4 linked regions of the Drosophila melanogaster genome follow. The protein of the gene in region 2 interacts with the protein of the main gene of each other region in a pairwise test. Each region holds a gene or a part of one and is shown on either strand. Other genes may lie near its edges.

Evidence for each region.
Region 1: the proteins of sordd2 (region 2) and Ubc4 interact in a two-hybrid assay, tested with the Drosophila melanogaster proteins (one large-scale study listed by BioGRID).
Region 3: the proteins of sordd2 (region 2) and HLH4C interact in a two-hybrid assay, tested with the Drosophila melanogaster proteins (one large-scale study listed by BioGRID).
Region 4: the proteins of sordd2 (region 2) and CG7220 interact in a two-hybrid assay, tested with the Drosophila melanogaster proteins (one large-scale study listed by BioGRID).

The regions. Positions count from the first base shown.
Region 1 is NT_037436.4:9,696,338-9,700,999, reverse strand, and holds Ubc4 (ubiquitin conjugating enzyme 4), read right to left. Parts: upstream 2,665-4,662; 5' UTR 2,308-2,664; coding exon 2,245-2,307; intron 2,035-2,244; coding exon 1,882-2,034; intron 1,655-1,881; coding exon 1,271-1,654; 3' UTR 519-1,270; downstream 1-518. Other genes in the region: CG6761 (uncharacterized protein), read left to right, coding at 1-299. UniProt on the Drosophila melanogaster protein: Catalyzes the covalent attachment of ubiquitin to other proteins.
Region 2 is NC_004354.4:15,796,393-15,800,892, forward strand, and holds sordd2 (suppression of retinal degeneration disease 1 upon overexpression 2), read right to left. Parts: upstream 2,771-4,500; 5' UTR 2,579-2,770; intron 1,880-2,578; 5' UTR 1,841-1,879; coding exon 1,275-1,840; intron 1,212-1,274; coding exon 1,045-1,211; intron 980-1,044; coding exon 861-979; 3' UTR 516-860; downstream 1-515. Other genes in the region: CG15602 (uncharacterized protein), read left to right, coding at 3,282-3,329, 3,401-3,645, 3,704-4,181, 4,247-4,500.
Region 3 is NC_004354.4:4,644,608-4,649,412, reverse strand, and holds HLH4C (helix loop helix protein 4C), read left to right. Parts: upstream 1-1,998; 5' UTR 1,999-2,106; intron 2,107-2,970; 5' UTR 2,971-3,045; coding exon 3,046-3,549; coding exon of another isoform or gene 3,550-3,621; 3' UTR 3,622-4,286; downstream 4,287-4,805. Other genes in the region: torsin, read left to right, coding at 1-728; mRpL30 (mitochondrial ribosomal protein L30), read right to left, coding at 824-1,238, 1,319-1,446; CG3062 (uncharacterized protein), read left to right, coding at 4,629-4,655.
Region 4 is NT_033778.4:10,731,086-10,737,940, reverse strand, and holds CG7220 (uncharacterized protein), read right to left. Parts: upstream 5,243-6,855; 5' UTR 5,145-5,242; intron 2,561-5,144; exon of another isoform or gene 2,122-2,560; 5' UTR 2,018-2,121; coding exon 1,886-2,017; intron 1,285-1,885; coding exon 1,193-1,284; intron 1,049-1,192; coding exon 946-1,048; intron 882-945; coding exon 650-881; intron 585-649; coding exon 571-584; 3' UTR 516-570; downstream 1-515.

The sequences.
Region 1 (4,662 bases), on a different chromosome or scaffold from region 2:
ACCAGGATCATCAGCGCGACTTCGAGGAGAAGATCATGAAACAGGTCGCCAATTATGTGACCAAAAAGACCGGAACGGATCAGTGTCTGGTGCAGAATGCCCAACCGCTTGGTGGCTCCTACGTGCGACTCGAGTCCGAATGGAAGGAGATGCTCAAGCAACGTCACAGCCATCACACGATCCAGGGAACCAATGCCACTGGCACATCCGTGGCTCAAAGCAACAGCAGCTGCCTGGGATCCGCACTTGCAACTGGTGGCTCCTCCGTGTCCGTCATGTCCAAGCAAAAGCACAAGTAGAAATTCGTATTATATGTGTGAAGTCATTAACTTATTGGATTCGCCAGCAAGCATCGTAGACCAAATATTTAGTGACAGATTATTAGTCAAATATTTAGTGCAAACCATAAATATTCACATTGAAATGTAGAAAAATTAAATGAATATGTAGAAGAATATATATATAAATGATTATATCTGGATGATATCGATGGGTTCTATTTTACTTTCACGTTTTGTGCAATTATTTGGTTTGTAAATCACCAAGAATTTGGATTTTATTTCAATTTTGGCATTAGACAGAGCCTTAAAAAATGGATTAAACAAGAATTATAGTAATATACATTACATATCTCAATCAATCTAGGGTAAATTACATTTTCCATTCTTCAGTCTAGGCATGATTTACAAAAATCTATTTTAAGTTTGCAGCCTCTTCTTCACAAACCGAAATCATAACTTCTCATTAGACATTTATTAATATTTTTATTTATTTATTTATTAACTTAACGCAATTTACAAAGACTTCGATTTGTTATACACTCCTCGCCTTCACATTTATTTTGTTTTGTAAATCATTTTTGTTTGTGTTTTAGTTTAAGCTTGAAATGGAAAACAACAGTACTGTTTAAGAAAGAGCCTGCAAGTAAATGCGACTGCACGTAAATTAATGAAACAGAACCTGGGTTCAATTACATAACACCACATGCTCAATGGGGCGCGGGCATGGCCTTTGGCTCAACCTTCTGGTGACCCACCCAGCGGCAAAGATGTGCACATTAATCATAATAAAATTATAGAACAGATCAGAGAATTATTATAACTACAGGGCAATGTAATTTCGTGGATAAGATTTACGAAAATATATTGGTGCGTGAGTGTACAAGAATTTAGCGTGATTGCCGTTCTGAAGGATTGATGCTGAAGTTGGCCGGTGTTCTTGGTGCTGCCACCGCCGCGAATGGTACTGATGCTAGTGCGGCTGGGACAAGCTAACTGAACAGGCCCTCGGTGGCCTTCTCCAAATTCCAATTCTCCTTGGAGAGCACGGCGCGCGCCTCATGCTCGTCGATGCCCATGTCCCTGAGACGTTGGATCTTTGAATCACAATCGGGAAAGGTGTGCGGTCCGCCCGCATACGCGTTGGTCCAGTGCTTGGCCGTAAGCAGGAACAGATCGTACTTGTCCTTAAACTGATAGGCCACCACTGCGTCCTGTGGATCGTCCGGCTCTGCGGCGGCCAGGAGCGCCTGCAGCGACAGCAGTACGGTGCGCAGTGTCATCGCTGCAGCCCAGTTGTCCTTTAAGATGTCCAAGCAAATCGCACCCGTAACCGACGATATATTCGGATGCCAGATGCGCGTTATGAAGCGTACCTGCGAAGAAGTTTGCAATTTATTTAGGTTTCAATTACAAGTTACAGGTTCTTATTGCGCCTTTCAGAATTCAAGTTAACATTGTGGATTCATAGAAGTGTCACTTTCTACGAAGTGAAGTCATAAGATACGATTTTTGAAAGATGAGGTGTACTCATGTAAGAGTTGTTTATTTCTAAGCTAGCATATTGTATAGGTGCACAAAGTCTGACATGGCTATTACGTACCTTTGGTGGATTGAAGGGATATGTCTCGGGCACCTTGATCTCCAGGACGAACTTGCCGCCCTCGTAGGGCGTGTCAGGCGGACCGGCGATCTCGCCGCGCAGCTCCGTCCAACTGTCATTGACCAGTTCGATTTTGATGGAACACTGGACGATCTGTTCAGGGATTACAAGCCAAATTAACAAATCAGTGGGGCCAATGTTTACATTTCACAAAGAAAACGGAGCCCATAAGCGCGCCAAAAACGCCACCAACGTTCGCGGACACCCTCCCCCGCCCCCTGCACCACGACCAGGGGCGGTGGTGCAGCTGGCATTGCCGAGGTGCCGTTTGAGTGTCCTTCGGCCTTGGAGCTCGGGACTCACCTCCTCGCTGCGCATCACCTCCTTGAACTCCCGCTTGATCCGCGACACTGCCATGTTCGCCATGATGTTTCCTCCGTTTCTCGGACTCTCCTTTCTGCTCTCTCCCTGTTCCCTGTTCACCGTTCTCCTTTCTCCGCCGCTCCTCTTCACCACGCTCTTCTTGCTGTGTTCTGTTCTGCCTCTGTTTTTATTGTTGCCCCCCCGTGCAATTTTGGATTTTGTGAGTGTTGTGCGTTGCGTAAATTACGCCTGGCTGTTGGCCTACAAGGTTGCTCCTTTCGATCGCTTTTCGAATTGTCGAAGCAACGAGCTCGACCAGCGCACGGAAAATAAAAAACTTATTATTCCAATTTCAACACGAATCTGACTTTTTACAGCGCTCAGCACGTCTATTTTGCCAGCGCTATTTCTTTTTTGTTTTTCCGTAGTGTGACCGCCGCGGTGCATTCGGATAATTCTGAAAGCTCGCCTATCGATTGACGTATCGATAGGGCTTCGGGGAAAGAGCGCGAAAATTGCTAACGAAGTTCGAATGTTCAAATGTTTAGCATATGAATAAATAACTATTACATAGGGACGTAATGAATTGGTGCTACTTGCTGCGAGCCATATATTGCCTAGATACGCCCTTAATACTACCCAGGTACACCCACTTCACTCAACTCATAACTATTTAATCATATTAAAACCTATTAAACATTTTAAGGAGGAGTCTTCTTCTTAACATTGGTCCTCCAATTATGTCCACTGGATGACATGATGACTTTGTTTCCCTGAAGGCGACATATCAGAATCTGGGAATCTTAACCGACACATTTTCCTAACTCGTTTCGATAATACAAATGAAAAGAAACAAAAGCAAAATCTACATAAAAATAACCATATTTACAAACTACTTTCCTAATAAATTCAGCTAAGCCCCATACACGAAGTACTCATTCTTACCTCTTTGTTGATAAAATCTATTTACGTTACAATGATTGGCTGAATCAATTCCAAAGTTGGTTTTTGTACCATTGGATAAAAAAGCCGCAGCTTTTCCTTGGCACACGTCAAAGGTTATTTTCCATTGCGTCTCTGATCTTGAATACTGAATACATGGCCTTATTATATAATCGAAGTTCTTTTGACCTCAGTAATATGGTTCCATTACGCTCGCCCGCCTTGTCTGCGGTCGGAAATTTGAAACTTGTTTTGCGCCCCATAAACAAAAACAAGAAGTTTAATCTTCTAAGGCGTAGGTCTCTCTTGGCAACAGTCCAAAAATAATAGACAGCCATTAATTATGCGCCATACGATCCTGTGTTTATAATGGTTATACTTGGAAAAGGGGTACACGAAGTGTTACTTTATTCACATTGCAATTTTAAATCAATATGAGAGAACTTTACCTAAAAAATTTTTAAGTGATAAACAATTAAGTGGATTACATTTTCAGCAAACTCTTATTAATAAGTTGAATGTTAACAAAATAAAAATATGATCAAAAAAATTAGAGGGCATATTTCATACCTGAAAAATCATTAAAGTCGACATTCTCTTTTACTGCTCAAATTCACGTTTCGCACAGCTCAATGGCGATCGAGAAAAAAACGTGTCAGCAAAAGCGTGTGGGGAAGTTTTGAGAGCCAACGCAACAACAGTTTTCGGATAAGAAATATACCCAATAGACATTCGGAGACTAATTAAAACGGAAGAGCTTCTTGCTTCTCCAACTCTTTGGACACACGTGTTTGTGCTCCCCTTTTGTGGCGCTCTTTCGCCACAAAACAAAACGAGTGACCGACACAAACAAATATGCCGGTTCTCTTTTACTCTCCCCGATATTCCCTTTCGAAGCATATGTATTATGACTGTGTGAAGAGGGATGCGTTTCCTACCCCATAAAATAACCAGATAACCAAAAGATACATTTATTGTCTTGTAACGTAAGGGTATCCATGCTTCAGCTTGATTAAATCAACTCTCCTCTGCGTTATCTCTTGCTCTCTCGCACCAAACAACTCCATAAACAGAAACTCAACTTCCCTCGCTTAAATTCAATTCAAAAGCGTTCTGATTCATTCAGCTTTTGCATTTTCTGAGCAGCGGCTGCATCCAAGTGAAATCACAAAGTACAAGTTTTTTTCGACCAACTTGTACAAACCGCATCGTTCAGTGATTAATAGTTTGTAGTTTAAAAGTAATTGCGACACTTTGCTACCTCACATGTTTCAAGTAAGTCCAGTATGGTGTACTACTCGATTTTGAAGTGTGCGTGCCTTTGTTTTCGCCTCGACTCAAAACATGCGTCGCATTCGGCACGTGGTTTTTGCCCCACCAACCCGCTATCCACGGCTCCATTATTCCTGTACTTGCAATGCCATTTGCGTCAGTTTTTAGGGATAAAACACGGAGAAGAGTACGTCAGCATTTGGC
Region 2 (4,500 bases):
GTACAACGCTAATGCATCTATAAACGTTTAAGTCGTAATCGATAGCTCACCCACTGTGCAGAAATCACGTGACCATCCCTAATTAGAACTGGCTTCTTTCAAAACAAAGCAAACGAAATTTAAAACTTTTTCAATTTATATGTTCCATTGGTGACTCTGGTTGCAGTGAGCTTCTTGGCACGGAGCAGAATCCTTTATCGGCAATTCCCAGGAGGTGGAGCGCATCACCACAGCCAATTATGGAGCCAGTGATGAGGCGTCCCCCTCCATTGCCAACAAACTGGCCCACTTAAAGGAGGCGATCTTCTAGAGCGATCGGTAGAAGGTACATATATCATACATCTCATACTCAAGATAAGCCGATATCTTCATGTACATACATGCATCCATATCCTCAGCATCTTCGAAATTCACGTTATCCCTGATCCCTAAAAAGAATGTTGTGCAGTTTAAGTTAAGCAAAAACTTAATGATTTTTTTCACCCATCGATAATAATCTACACGGAAAATAAATTAAAATAAATGTTTTTAATGTTTTATAGAATTTAAAATATAAATTTATACAATTTTTGAAATCTACATTTGAATTAAATCATTACGATCCAATTATTTCGAAATTTCAGTTTTTTATGCTGAAGTCGTAGGGTATTGCAGACTTTTTGAAATAATTTGGGACCCAATCCACTTCTGTTTTGCGAATCCTCAAATTACAATTATAACCGAATGCTAACAATTTATGTTAATTAATCACACCAACGACTATAGCCCAACGAGTTTAACAATATTGTTGATTTAACTGGAGGATACTGCTATTTGATTACTTCGCACGCTTTCCATTGACATTTGAATATAGGTTCTTCTTATCGGGATGATCCGTGCACTATTGGAACGAGCAGCCCATATATCACAAAAACGACAAAATGCCAGAACAGTTTTGACAGGGCCCAGGGTTCATCTTCGTGTAGCCTTCTAATATCAGCTAAATACATGGGCAAATGTTATTTAATGTCAATCTCAGAACTATTGAGATGGCATGTAACCTACCAGGTGGACGTGGTTCGAAAAAGTTGAGCCTAGATGTTATGAACCCGAAAGGAAAAGCTCCAATACCGAAAGACATGTGAAATCCGTCGCCGAATCCGAATCCAGGGAACCCGGGAACAGGATCTGGTTCTGTACGTTGTCCAGCGGGGCGTGGTGGAACTTTGTTACTGCAAAACACATATAAGTTGGGTTATTGAAAAATACTCATGTTGAAAGCGGTTCAAACCTACCGTGGATCTTCCTGGTGTGTACTATTTCTTCCGTACAGCGGTATGACCTTATCCTTATCAACGGCAGCCTTACAAACGGGACAGAGTTTGCGATTGGGACGCGTCAGGAGCCACTGATGCAGGCACGGCCAGCAGAACAGATGGCCGCACATGCTGACCACAGCATCCTTGGCGGTGTCCAGGCATATGTTGCACTCGTAGAGTGAGTCGTCTGCGGTATGTTCCTTCTCCTTGTCCTTTTCGTTGGCTTTTGTGTCCGTATCGGTGCCGCCGAATGGATAGCCACCCTTCAGATCGGCCTTATTGCCACCAGATAGATAGTCTCCAGTAAAGGAATACGAAGTGTTGGACTTCTTCAGTTCCGATGCCGTCGAATTGGTTGGAATCGAGGTACCCAGCGGGCGCAATTGACTTGTAGATGACTCCTCAGCCAAGGGTTCTGTGATATCCCGAGTCCAGGCTATCTTGTCGTAGCTCACGTTGTTGGACAAAGTCGATGAGGACGACGATGCCCCGGTTGATGTGCTGGGAAGCTCCGCTGTGGATACACTTTTCGGTTCCTCCATGGTTTGCCCAAGATGCGGGTAAAGTTTTAGTCGTTCAAGCTGCAACGTAACGTTGGATGATTTAGAAACCCAAATTTGCTAAGTAAGTCTGTGTTCACCCTATTGACAAGTGCCTAGATTGCTTAGATGATTTTCCTAGGCCATTTCTGGTGTACAACTAAGGTCCGCACTTTCTTGAATATGACTTAATTTAATTAAATACTTCAAGCGCAGTTTGAAGGGGGTTTCCCCCGAGTTCCGCAGCATTCAGCATTTGTCCGACCCCATGGGGTGGTGTTTATGGCTACGAAAACCGCCCAAAGGGCGTATTTACCACCAAGTCTTCAAGGATAATGCACCGAACATTCCCATTGGCTGCACCCACATAAATTAAACAAAAAAGTCAAATTTTGTTTGAATTGCGTTGGCAAACAAGACGGTATACCTGCATATGTACCTGGACTTATGTGCGTACTTATGTACACATCTACACACTCAAACACTCGCGTGTATATAGGGCTAGAAGGTTTCCATCTACCTGTTACATATGTACATTGGAACCGATTATATGCTTATTTATACAGTACGTATAGATGTCACATAATGTTTTCATGGAGCACTTCCTATTGGAGTCAAGGGGAATTATATGCTCATATACATCGAGTTCCAGGGATTGCGTTTAAACGCATTATAACTTAATTAAACTATATATAACTTCCTGTGGCACAGCAAATAGTATAACTTCTCAAAATTACTTACATTGTAAGTGTATTGTTTGCAAAACCTGACTTGTTTGCCCTCATTTTATTGTTTGTTTTCGCTCACTGTTTGCTTCTACTTGCCGTGCTAAGTATTGTTAAACCGAATCAGAGAATGTTGCTAAATTGATTGTGTGGACAAGTCAATCAATTGACGTCTTAGCACCTCAAAACAATTGCACTGACGATACCTGACCGAGGCCGATAGACCTTTACCCTATCGGTAAATAGCTGCCTGTATAACAGCCCGTCTCCACCGGACCAAAGTCCACGCTCGCGTTAGATAACTATCGAGTTAGGTGAAAAATCTCGGATCTCAATGAATCATTTGAAAAGTGATCAGTGATCAGTCCTCGATTGATTTGTAAACAAAATAAACTACTAAATACATTTACAAGACTAAATACTATTCATTAACAGCTGTTGTGTGCCATGGACAATCGATACCAGGACTCACTCGACTATCTCTAGTTCCTAACGATCTGGTCACAACAAAGCTCAAGAATTTAATAATATTGATATTAGACTAAACCAAAACAAGGAACAGCTGATTTTTAGAACGCTAATGCGTTTAAGTCGTAATCGATAGCTCACCCACTGTACACTGTACACCATCCCTAATTAGAACTGGCTTCTTTCAAAACAAAGCAAACGAAATTTGAAACTTTTTCAATTTATATGTTCCATTGGTGACTCTGGTTGCAATGAGCTGCTTTGGCTGCGGTCGCAAATATGGCCTATTCTGCAAGGAGGCAAGTGCCATCAAACCAAAGCAAACCAACATATATCACCTACTTACATTGTGTTAAATCCGAAATTTTAGTATGGATGCCCCAACTGCGGCTACTCATTCTGCTCCAAGTGCTTGAAGAGACCAATGCCCGTGCCCCGTCATGCAGGAAAGGTGCACAATGTGTGCCTCATATGCTACGACAAACTATCCAAACTCCAGGCGAGCGCCGATGCCGAGAAAGTTATAGACTGTGATGCTTTGCCGGGGATCTTAGTCACCAAAATGAACCTGGCTCCTCCATCCAAAAGTTCAGATGGCGCCGATGCCCTATTCAAGTAAGTAAAATACCACATTAAAACACCGATTCTGAAACTATAATTCGATTAATTGCAGCGACAGCCTGCCTGTGGAGGAGCTGCCACAGGCATTGGTTCCCAGTTCCAGTTCGTCACCACATTCCAAAGATCACAAGGATCATATTGATGAGAACCTGGACAGTGAGTTGACCAAACGAATGCAGGACTATAAACGAGTTGATGCCACCGATGATGAGATCCGCACCCGTCTGGCCAATCTCACTGGGATGCCGCATACGAAAAGCTACGATAAGAAAGATCTGCTACTGTCCACCGACCAAAGAAACGATCAGGAGAAAATGAGGGACTTGCTCGCACAATTCGTTGACGAAGCCCAACTGGATCAAAATATCAGCAGGCAGAGGGATGACTCAATTTCCGACATTGAGAGACGTCTGCGAGCTCTGCGCGATACACCCGTCGATTCCGATGCATGCCCATCGAGATCCCAGATGGAAAGTATCGCGGACAACGAAGAGGATGACGAGACACTTCTACAGAACATATTGAAAAAGGTTCGCATTTATATAGTAGCATTATTTTTTTTAAGCCAAATCATCACTTTCGTATTCCCATTCAGTATGTAGCAGAATCGCGCTTACCAGAACCTTCCGAGAGTGAAATTAGTCCAATTAACACTGAGTCGCCCGGCAACACCGAAGAATTGCCCTGGTGCAATATTTGTAACGAAGACGCCGACTTCCGATGCCACGGATGTGGTGGGGAACTCTTTTGCACTCTATGCTATAAGGAGTGCCACGATGATGACGAGGAGTACCGTGCTCACGTTAAGGAAAAGTATTCGGCTCCGCCAAAGCTTAAAGAAAATCACTT
Region 3 (4,805 bases), about 11 Mb from region 2:
GGAAACCGCTGGTCATCAGCTTTCACGGCCAGCCCGGTACGGGCAAGAATTTTGTGGCTGAGCAAATTGCAGATGCTATGTATTTGAAGGGCTCCAGGTCGAACTATGTAACCAAGTATCTCGGACAAGCTGACTTTCCCAAGGAAAGTGAGGTGTCTAACTATAGGGTGAAAATCAATAATGCGGTGCGCGATACCTTGCGTAGCTGCCCGAGATCTTTGTTCATCTTCGACGAGGTGGATAAAATGCCCAGCGGAGTATTCGACCAGCTCACCTCGCTGGTGGACTACAACGCCTTTGTCGATGGCACGGATAACACAAAGGCAATCTTCATCTTTCTCTCGAACACGGCGGGCAGTCATATAGCCAGTCATCTGGGTAGTGTGATGAAGAATGGTAGGCTGCGCGAGGACACACGACTGAGTGACTTTGAGCCCCTTTTGCGGAAGGCCGCCTATAACATGGATGGCGGTATGAAAAAGACCACCATGATTGAGTCTCATGTTATCGATCATTTCATTCCGTTCCTGCCGATGGAGAAGGCGCATGTGATCAAGTGCCTGGAGGCGGAGCTTTTAAGGTGGCGGCGCGATCCTAAGCAAGCGAACAACCAAAAAATCATTGAGGACATAATAAACTCCTCCATTAGTTACGATCGCACGCACAGCTTGTTCGCCATTTCGGGCTGCAAGACGCTGGAGAAGAAGGTGGCCATGGCCATTTACTGAGAAAGGACCGACCGACTCCACATTTTAATGCTTAGTTTGGGTTTCGGTTTGTATTTAAAAAACTATTTTTTCGGAATAAAGAAAACAAATTTTAACTACCAGGGATTTAGCCACTTGAGGCGGGCATCTTTGCGCAGCAGATCGGTATCCAGTCGCTTGGGCTGCTCGTCGTAATCCTGGCGAGCCGCCAGGCGGGTATCGATGGGTCCCAGGTCCTTGGTTACCAGGCACTCGCCGTTCTCCTTGAGTATCGTATGCCGGACATCCTGGGCAGTGGGCTCTCCGTAGGGGAACGTGACCGGCGTAACCTTAATTAGATGCTTGATCTTCCACAGGCGGGCATTGTTCTCCGGTATGTTCTTGACGACAGTAAAATCGCTCTGCTTTCCGTCTAGTCCCAGATCTTTGAGGATTCGATTCTCCCAGTAGGGATTGCCCTTTAGCGGCTTGATGCGCTGCACCCGGAAAAGTTTCGCCGGCTCCACGGGTGGATCCTGGTGATCGGGAGTCCTGAGCGGGATAGATTTAGCATTAACAAATGCTGGATTTCGTGTGTTTTCCTTTTATACACTGCACACGTGAATACGAACCTGGGATAGTAGGTGATACCCTCAAATTTCTGGCCATTTTTGTAGAGGAACTTCTTGTTGTGCTTTCCGTAGCTGCGCACCGAACATGCGGTGCTCCTCAGTGGATTCAGCAGCCTTCCCAGGTTCATCTTAATTGTTTTCCCCCCTTTGTAATAAAATTAAATGCAAAACGCTTATGAAATAATTGATGTTTCCCCGACGATAACGATTACACAGACATCTGGTTAACTAGTTGCCTATCGATGGGCAGCATGGATACTGCCGTTATGTAAACCAATGTTAACCGCTTGCTGTTAAGCGATACAATTCAAATGCAAAGGCGGCAAAGTTAAAAGTGATAATTTATCATGTACAAACTGAAGATAATTTATCATTTACAAACTGAAGATAGCGAAAACATTATCAATAAGATGGTAATATATATTCGTTGTTTTTTTTTTTAATATTTCAAGAATTAGTTGAGAAAAGAAAGTTTTTAGGTCATCGGATTACACAGCCTCCAGGGGATGATGTCCATTTCTGGAAAGGGGCGGTCTCATATCAAAATCTCCGCCATTTTGTCAGCTACAATTGGCGCTAATCGACGAGGGTGGATAACTTGGCATTGGCTGGCTTTCAACGCAATGGGGTTGTTTCCGATTTTGGTTATAAAGGAGGCTGCAGCTTCCCGACCGGAAGTCAGTTCCACGTGAGCATCCATCCGGCGAGCAACCGACTCTAGTGGCAAGCAAGGATATCTGCCAGACAACTCAAGGATCTAGAATAACTCTGCACCTGTGATAACTGCTGTAAGTTCAGGCAACAAAGCCCAAAAATTGTGAGCAATGCAAATGAAGTGAATGTACTAGCGAGTAGAATAATCAAATTAAAGATACAAATAGCTGAATGAAGTCTCTAGTTCGTTTAAAATTATATCTAGAAATTTGTTAATTAGCTAACTTGACCATGTGCACGCACTCGACATGTGTAAGTGTACTGGAGTTTCATAGTCTTGAGGGGACTTGAGTTACACGACAAGTTCTTAAAACTAGATCGGATTTCCATCATCCCATGGGATCAATAGACACGTCTTCGACTTGATGCAATTCCAGTGACACTTTTTGGACCCAAAACCCATTAAATCAATAGATATAAAATCATACGTTAACCGCAACAATACAAAAAAGGGTGGCCAAGCCTAAGGGGTTGGCATCGCTGAGGTTTGCCAACTCCCGCGGGCAAATAAACGTGCCGATTGTTCAGCTATTTGTGTAGGTGTGAAAATATGCTGCGAATAAACAATACACGCACAATGCCGACAATAAGCACAATAAGTACAATAAAAATAAATGAAAATAATAGCAAACGCAAACAGAATGCAGCGAAAAAGGGGTGTGTCCTTCATCGGCAAGGACGACACACACACACACGGACACCCTTCATCACAAATGTCCACAAATGAAGCATAAATAATTCGAGTGCAAGGATTATGATTTCTTCAACGCCTATTGTAACCTTTTTTTTTTCAATAGCATGAGCGCTCCACCGCAAAGGTAGCCACACTTTTCGTCTTCCTTGAGTTTGAAATGCAGATCTGTGAAGCAATCAAGTACACATTTCGTTGTATTCATAGTCTAAGCTGTGCATCCTCTTGCTTCCATTTCCATTTCCAGCATTCAGCAGCAGGCTGGGCAGCGCAAGAAAGTCCAGTGTCCAGCACCGAAATCAGTGGTGCAAATAGCCAGAGAATGGTCTACGATATGAGCCATATGGCGGCGGGTCCGCCGCAAAGCATTTCGCTTAGTCGCTACTATCTGGTCGACGATGATGAGATGATTGGGCCAAATAATCCGCATCTGGTCAACGAGGACTATGCGGCCAGTACGACGCTGGATATCGATAAGCGTTTTCAGGCGCGAATGGCGTGCGAAACGGCCGCACAACCGGCACCGCCACCGCCGCCCACGCCGGCGCCACGTCGCCGGACCACGCCCATTGCCCATTTGGATCCATCGGAATTGGTGGGTCTATCGCGGGAGGAGCGGCGTCGTCGCAGGCGAGCGACACTCAAATACCGAACGGCACATGCGACGCGGGAGCGTATACGGGTGGAGGCATTCAATGTTTCCTTTGCCGAGCTGCGCAAGCTGTTGCCCACATTGCCGCCGGACAAGAAGCTTTCCAAGATCGAGATCCTCAAGCTGGCCATCTGCTACATTGCCTATTTGAATCATGTGCTGGAGACGCCCTGAGATAGCGCCGGCGCCTCCAGTTTCGCCACCAGCTGCCTCTTTAACGAGGCCAATTTTTTCGCCCCCCCGTAGGAGGTGGGGGGGCGTGGCGGGCGGATTTAGGGGGAAAACATTGCGAATATTCCACATCCGATAAACGCATTTCACCATGCTCTGTAATCCGCACATCGCTCCATTGGATACTTTGCCGGTGGCGGCTATGGATAATGCGATTATCGAATTAGCCATCTCACCAACTTAACCGAAGTGTTCGATGGATTTTGCCGATTTGCTAACCTATTTAACCTATGGTTAAATACATACATTTTTTTGTTTTTTGTTTTTTTTTTTCCTTGCCACTGTTGAAAGACAAATGCCCGTCGTTTCGTTTCGATTCGTTTTTTTTTTTAGGCTTAGGTTTGTTTTCGTAGAAACAATTGTAAAGCCACGATTTAACCTAAGGTTAAAATATGCCCGTACTAAATGTAGAAGATATAAGCTATTAGTTTGTGTAATTTAATTGAAAAGTAGAAATATCGAAGGAAATAACAAAACTAAATATGCCAGTAGTACATACAATTAAATTTATGGGAAAGCAGTGCTTAATCCTCGGAGTAAACCTTGATCATGGTTTATATAATATAAATAACCAAGAAAAAAAAAACAGAACCTTAAACTAAGATCCATTTTTTGTCTAGCCTTTAAGTCGTGATATTTGTTTATACTCAAACGATTAATATATACAGCATTGTAATCGCAATAAAAAATTGTCTACTTTATGTATTTTGGCGCGCCTTTGCACGACACTCCCCTCGACTTTTGGACACCAGCTGCTCTGACTGAGTTTTCCATTTGTCTGAACGCTTTGCTCGGAAAAGCCAGATGCTAACAGTTCCCCCTTTTTCACCAACCTTCAAGAACCACGTATCCACGTATCAAAAGCGGGCGTGTCCTTTGCGCCAAGCCCCGCCCATTTGTGTAAAAGCGAAGTAGAGCAGCCTCTGTCATAATTTTCAAAAATTGAGGATACATTTTTATTTTTTTGTTTTAGAAACTGTGAAAGCGTCACGGAAATTTCGACTTTTGTGCAAAATTTCGAAATGGCCCTTCATTTTAGTGCACAGCAGGTAAGACAAATTTATTCTAGTCGATTGGGAGGCTGTTTTCAATATCCATAAATAGTGGCCTAATTTGGTTGGTACGGGTAACGGGTATATATATATATACATATATATATATTTGTGTGGATCCATGGATGTAAACATTTTCGCAATAAT
Region 4 (6,855 bases), on a different chromosome or scaffold from region 2:
ACAAAATTAATATAAGCTGGGATGGAGGCGATGTGTGTGTGTGCTGGGTCACGCTACTCGGGCAGAAAATGCCGCGAACGATGCATGTGGAATGTGGAAGCAGCAACTGGCGCGAGGTGCCAGAACTATCAAACGTTCAAGTGGTTTGCATACGCTTAGTGGTTAAATGGTAGGATAACATTTAATTTAGACATAAATTTGGTCTTAACAATCTAATTAAAATGTTAACATTTAATAATAGTTTTTCGCACACGCCTTTTGTTGATTACACATAGCTACAATTAGAATTGTTTGCATGCGCCACGATTGTTTGCCAAACACTACCCATAAGTTTCTCGCTAACTTCATTTACTTTGTTGCACATTACGTTCGCATCCGAGTGCACTTGGGTTTTAGTATGCTCCACTCACGAGCAGTGCTTGACCGCCGTCCCACATTTCTTGGATTTCTGGGGGCATCTCGCCGTGTTCTACTTCTGTATTGCTAATGGTGTTTTTTTTTTTTTTTTTTTTTTTGGTTGGATGCGCAAAGCAAACAATAGCAGGCAGTATTAGTAAATGGCAATTTTAACTAAACAGAATCATCTGAAATAAACAATTAGTCAAGTTTAGAGTCAGTGGGCTTTAGTTGGAAAATCACGCATACGTACCGTGGTACCACCATTTAGTCTTTTTAGGATTCTTATTACAGGTTTTTACGTATATCGTGTTGTCCGGCGGACGCTTCTTTTCGCGACAACTACTCAACATGGAGGCTATGCTAAGGCACACGGACTGCACGGACAGCGCCGGGGACCAGTCCTCGGTCAGAATGGATAGGCAGATGTGTCCGTTGCTGTAGACATGCGGATGCACCGGTATATTGGTGCCGATGAAGGTCACCTGGAAATTAAGAGAACATGGTTAAGATTCCATACAGCTTCGCTTTGTTCAACTGAATTATTACCTCTGGCGAATCGAACGGATATTTATTGTTGAATTTGAAAAGTAGCTGGAAGTCCTCGCCCTCGTAAAGTGTGCCCTCGAAACCTTTAATGTTTATTTTCCATCTGTAAACAAAACAGCGATATTAGTGTCAGCTTCCAACAACTGCGGGCTTTGTTTTCAGTGCGAATTGCTGAATTGCGAATTGATTTAAACCAGTTTCAGTTGTCGCTGAACTTGGCCTACTCCGCCTCGAAGTCCATACTTACTCGGATAAATTTTGTTGTACGCTCTCGGTGTCGATGGTTACGCCTGGTGGCGGCTCCTTGATCAGGGACATCAGCTCTTTGTGTAGGCGGCGCTGTGGGGCAGAAAATAAAATTTAAGACTTATATTAGTTAATGACTCGGACAGTTCGCCGTATATCTTATCGCGAAACACACCTACAGCTGGGACATTCTACTTAAGAGTTCTCAAGACTTATTTTTTCCGCTCGCCTTATCGGTGCGCCATTTCTCCTTTGGCTTACAAACGCCAATATACGCTATATGCCTACGCGCGTATAAATAAACGAAATGCTCGATAAGATAAAAACAAATGTCACTGAAATTTATAGAACCGACGATTGTTTTTCCGTCTTTCGGATCCCCCTTCTTATCGAGTGATTGGCACTTGCAGGCCCGTTTTCTGTACCATAAACAAGTATCGCACCGCTGCCCCCACAAATGAGCTGCGGATAAATGGGTTTGATCGATAAGGTTTGGATTTGGCAATGCCAAGAATAATAAAAACAAATCTTGGTACAGCCTTGAAGAGAATCAACAGAAGATTCACGCAGATTTCTTGAAACTCAAAATACTACATACTCATGATGCAATGGAACACTATATGTATATTAACGACCAGTTGTTCGAACGCGATATCTGGCCAAAGTTCAGGTTTAATATCTCGAATATACTTGCCTCCCATCGCGAGTTGTCCAACTGCAAAGGTTTTCCGCACTTGGAGACCGGCGGTGTTTTGGGCTCCTTGGGCTCGGTTAAAATCTCCGATTTGGGTATTTTGTCTTTGGGTTTTTTAAACAGCTTCATCATTTTGTAGTTCTAGTTTTCACACAGTTTCTCACAAATTTTAGCTTTTGTTGTGTCACCTATAACTTGTCACTTTTAGGCAGATTGCTCTCGGCTTGCTGGGCTTGCTTTTAAGTATTTAAGTTAGTTAGTCGCACAGTTCAATATGCCAGCGTTTTTCCTAGGAGGCGAGAGTGGGCGTGGGGCATGGCAGTCATTTTATTAGCGAACCGATTCGTGTAGACCAATTGCGGCAACGTTCGTGGGACGACTGCAGGAAAGCGCCCAGAAAATTGTGGGAGAGACTGCAGGGCGAGTCGAGTGACGAAGCCCGATGTAGCGACGTGTCTCTGTGTACGTACTGTCGGGCACAAGTAGTAGAAGTCGTCGCCGCTTTCGGCACCTCTCCAATCGCACCACCCCCCGCTCTCACCCGATCTGTGTATACATATCTACGTTGGTTGTGCACTATCAAAAATGAGAATTCGCAAGTGCAGCGAGAAACGGCCCAAACTAGTTCGTTAACCTGAACAAGTTGCCCGTCCAGCTGGTTTGGTCCTAAACTTAAGTCGCGATTGTGTCCCCGGATCACGAAATGGTGGCTCTCACAGCCCCTCGCTCCACCAAAGGTATTGGCAGAAACGCTTATCGGACCACTGCCCTGGCACGCAGCCATTACCTGATAAGCACACGATTAGATTACAGCGACGGAAGTGGCGATAAGCACATCCTACGTATATGTTAATACAGTGTGGGAAAAGCTCTACGCATTGAGGTACCAAAAATATATTTATATATAATCAACAATTTTAATATTACGGAAGTTCAACTGGTAAACAGCACTTACTGAAGTTCATAAAGAAGCATTTTCCCAGTAAATTGCGAACTCATTTTGCTCACTGCACATACTCGAACAAAAGGAACACAAGTGTTCAAGACGGTTGCATACGTCAATGGGGCATACATTTCAATTGATGGCACAATGAAATCTTCGGCTTTTAAACTGAAATGAAGACGAGCGTCTGCTCATGATTAAAAGCAATCAAGCAGGGCCCTAGAAGATGATCGATTATATAAGTCGGACACTGGTTTACAGAGAACTGGTTCTAAATGAAGCGACAGATCGACAACCACTTAGCGAGGCCAATTTAAGTGGACCCATTAAATAAGTTCCGCAACCATAGTGTACTATAGTATAGTATATAGTATGATGGACCCAAATGGGCCGCCAAACGCGAAAAAATCAGCGCTGAAGTAGGCCAGACCAATAAACACGCGCCACACTCAGCGGGGGCTACTTGCGTTTATTTTAGACTCAATCAAACTTAGAGAGCAAAACAAAAGCTGCTTGAATCAGCCAGAAATAAATAAATAAAACTGCAGTTGAATGCCAACGTCTAGAAGAGCGCTGCCTGGGAAATTTTATGAAAACAGCCAAAACAACCAAACAATGGACTCGAAAAATTCTTCGGCAATAAAAGCCAAGCAGAGTGTAAACAAATAAACCAGCGACTGCCAGACTTTGGTGGCGCTGGAAAGGGGGGACGCGTCTGTTTTTTATTTATTTCGCTTTTTCCTAGAATATTTTTCGGCTAAGCACAATGGCCGAGGAATAAAGCGTGCCACCACCAAAATCTTTGTGGCTGATAAACATTTTGGCAGCTGATAGCCGCAGTATTTTGGAGGTAAGCCAGAGGGTGAAGGACGATTAGCGTAGACATAAACACATAAGATTTGGATTGTGGGTGGCTCTGCATGATGGGGAAATCATTTGAAATGAATCACGCCACGAAAAATGTTTTGGAAATCGCATTTGCTGGCCAACCTTGGGCTGTGAATCACACGCCAGGCTAAAATAAACAAACCCAAGCCACTACACTCTGGCCAAATTATGCAAGTGGGAGGCCCAGAGGCCCGGTCTGAAAACCATATAAAGCGATTTCCTGAACCGGAGAAATGCTAAGCGCATTACGGTAAAGGTGAAAGCGGAAGAACCGAGGGATGGGCCATAAGTGTGTATAATAAACTCGCTGCAACCTTAAACTTGGCAAGAAGCCACCTGCCCCCTTCGCCACCGGTCGATAAATCATCGGGTACGTCATCATCGTACATTCTGACGTCAGAGATCGTGCTGAGTGGCGTTTTATAAAATAACGAAAACCTGATGCGCCAGTTTCGGCTTTATCATCAGCTTGAAGAGAGCGGCAATCGACATGTGTCACGTTCGCGGCGGATGAGCAACAAGTTCCATAGCGCATCTAGAGCATCTCCTTTGGCCGATTGCCGCTGACATGGAAGTATTGTATATAGCCGTAGGGAAATCTAGGAAACGTAAGCCATCAGAACGAGGACGTGTTGTTGTCGCAGACACGTGAAAGGCGTGTGTAATTACAATGTGCGAAACTTGTTGCTGTGAGGAAAAGACAACGGAATCGCAGTAATTAAATTAAAATAAAATGAAATGTAAGCGACTTAAATGCAAAGGTGTCTCTCTTCTGAGATTAAAGCGTTCTTCGCTGTGAAGGTGATGCGAAAACTGATGAGGAAAGTGACATATTAATCGCAACGTCAATGAAATTGCGCAGGTACACTTTACAGCGATTAAATCTGCCGATCAGCGATCACGTTTGGCAGGTCAGTGACTTCAATAATCCCTCTATTGCCAAGACCTTATCAAGGAGACACTTTCAAACAGCTAAATTGCTCTGCTGCCCTTTGGATGCCATTCGAAACCGCCTTTTAAACTCAACCATAAATCACTAATTGACTCGCGGGAGTGCTAACAAGGCAAAACACTTCCTTATGGCGAATCTGATATTCTTTGTGATCGGATTGGCCCATGCATATTTCATGATGCCACTTCGAAGGCTTGATACTTCTTGATTTTCAACTACAGGCTGATATCAGATTTATAACAAAATTTGAAAACACTTTTCATGGTATTGAAAACGATCTATAAACTGGTTCTAAAATGTGGTGGCTATGGCTTGCTGTTTATTTATAGTGATCTAATGAGTAAATGGGAGCGCCGGGCAATTAATATGTTTCGCGCGTGCCAATGATGTCGCAATTGAGGAGCGGACAAGAGGATCCCTGGGAAAAACGCTTGGCCACCGGTGATCAATGGTTGGCAAAAGTTAAACCTGCGCACTTTGGATCCGAATCGAAGTGTTTTGGCTTATGAATTTCGCGTCGCGAAGAATCTGGCAGAGCGGCGCGTGCGAATTCGCGTGGCATCGAGCACTGAATGCGAGCGGCGTCAATGGCGATGAGCTTCTATTTTCGGCAGACGGGAGAGCGATCCGCGTGAGCCACATATGTATTGTACTTATGTGTATACAAAAGACATTGCTTGATGAGAAAGGTGCTGCATAAACGAACAATATTAAACCAGATTATATTTGCGCGGGTACAAAATGCTTATTAAAAAAGGTACACAATAAATATCCCGACCGGTAAAATATACAATACAATTTTAAATATAAGACGTATTGCCAAGGAGCAAAGATACAATGCCAAGACTTGATACATACACAGGTTTTATAAACTTTATGGTCATATGGCAAACCCTTAAAGTAATGAAATTCAAGCGAGCTATAGTAAACTCCCCATGCCAGGTTAACAGCTCCCTAAAGAGCATCGAGCTGGCAAGGATCGAAGGTTTTTTGCCAAAATGCAAATGCATTGTTTATGTGGCATAAACAAGCATTCAGGCGAAGGGAAAGTGCAATGAATGCCATGTAAACATTTGGCCATTGGGAGGCAGATGACATTGGGCCGTGTCTGTGGCCTGTGGGTGGGCACAAACAGCGGCCCGATTATGGCGGGGTTAGCAGCAATTAGCGACCGGGGTCAGACGACCTCGGCCTGCAGAAACCAATAAGTTATATAACGATAGACGGACTGGTAGATCGAGCAAGAAGCTGGACAAGCTTATCATTGCAGAGCGCTGTGTCACTCCTCAGCTATGAATCTCTAGAACGATAAGATGACGTTGAACCTTCTACTCGTGGGATGGCAGTCCGACACGCGATTGCGGAAGGGAAACCTTTCCGGATCGTTAACATTTGCCCAGCTGCGGTTAAAACCCTCTACTATATTGAATACGCCTCGGATATCGAAATTATCCCAAGACTTCAAAGGGAACTCACCTCGCTTGGCGACTTCGAAGACATACTACTACTGCTTGTCTTGGGGAAATCCGTCCTGGTGTTCCTGCCGATTCCTGCTCCAAGTCCTGGCTGCTCCGCTCGCTGGCTATCTGTTCCGTTTCCTCCGTGGCCAAAGCTCTGCGTAAAGTCTGCTTTTAAGTAAATGTTATTAGAAAAATAAATATCTGAGTGGATAGTGTGACCCTCCGGGCAGTGTTGAAAACGATTCGTGCATCGCACGTACAAATTGTGAGCGAAACTAAAAAATACCGCACTCAGCTGTTCCGCGTGTAGGTATTTTTGAGTTTTCCGCTTTGAACGCCGGTAAATAGTTTAATTTCAGCGGAGTACAATAATTGTTTTAAAAATTTGTCAATCCAATTTGGGTTGACAAGTTATACTGACGACAGTTTAGAAAAGTTGTTGTGGTCCCTAGAATGGATGTGTTTTTTTTAGATGTGTTTAGTACAAACAGCTGATTCAACACAGTATTTTCGATGTACAGTAGATACCCGTAAGAAAGAATAGGACAAACAATTAGCTTATTTTTAAGCTATGAAATATATGTATTTTGCCAGTTTTTTAAGCAAAGATGCTTTTTTTATTTAAATTTGGCTACATTTAATTCTATATCTATTTTAAAAGCTGTATCTCGTATTGAATACTCACTGTTACATTAATATTTCGTTATACTTAATTAAAGTCTACTGT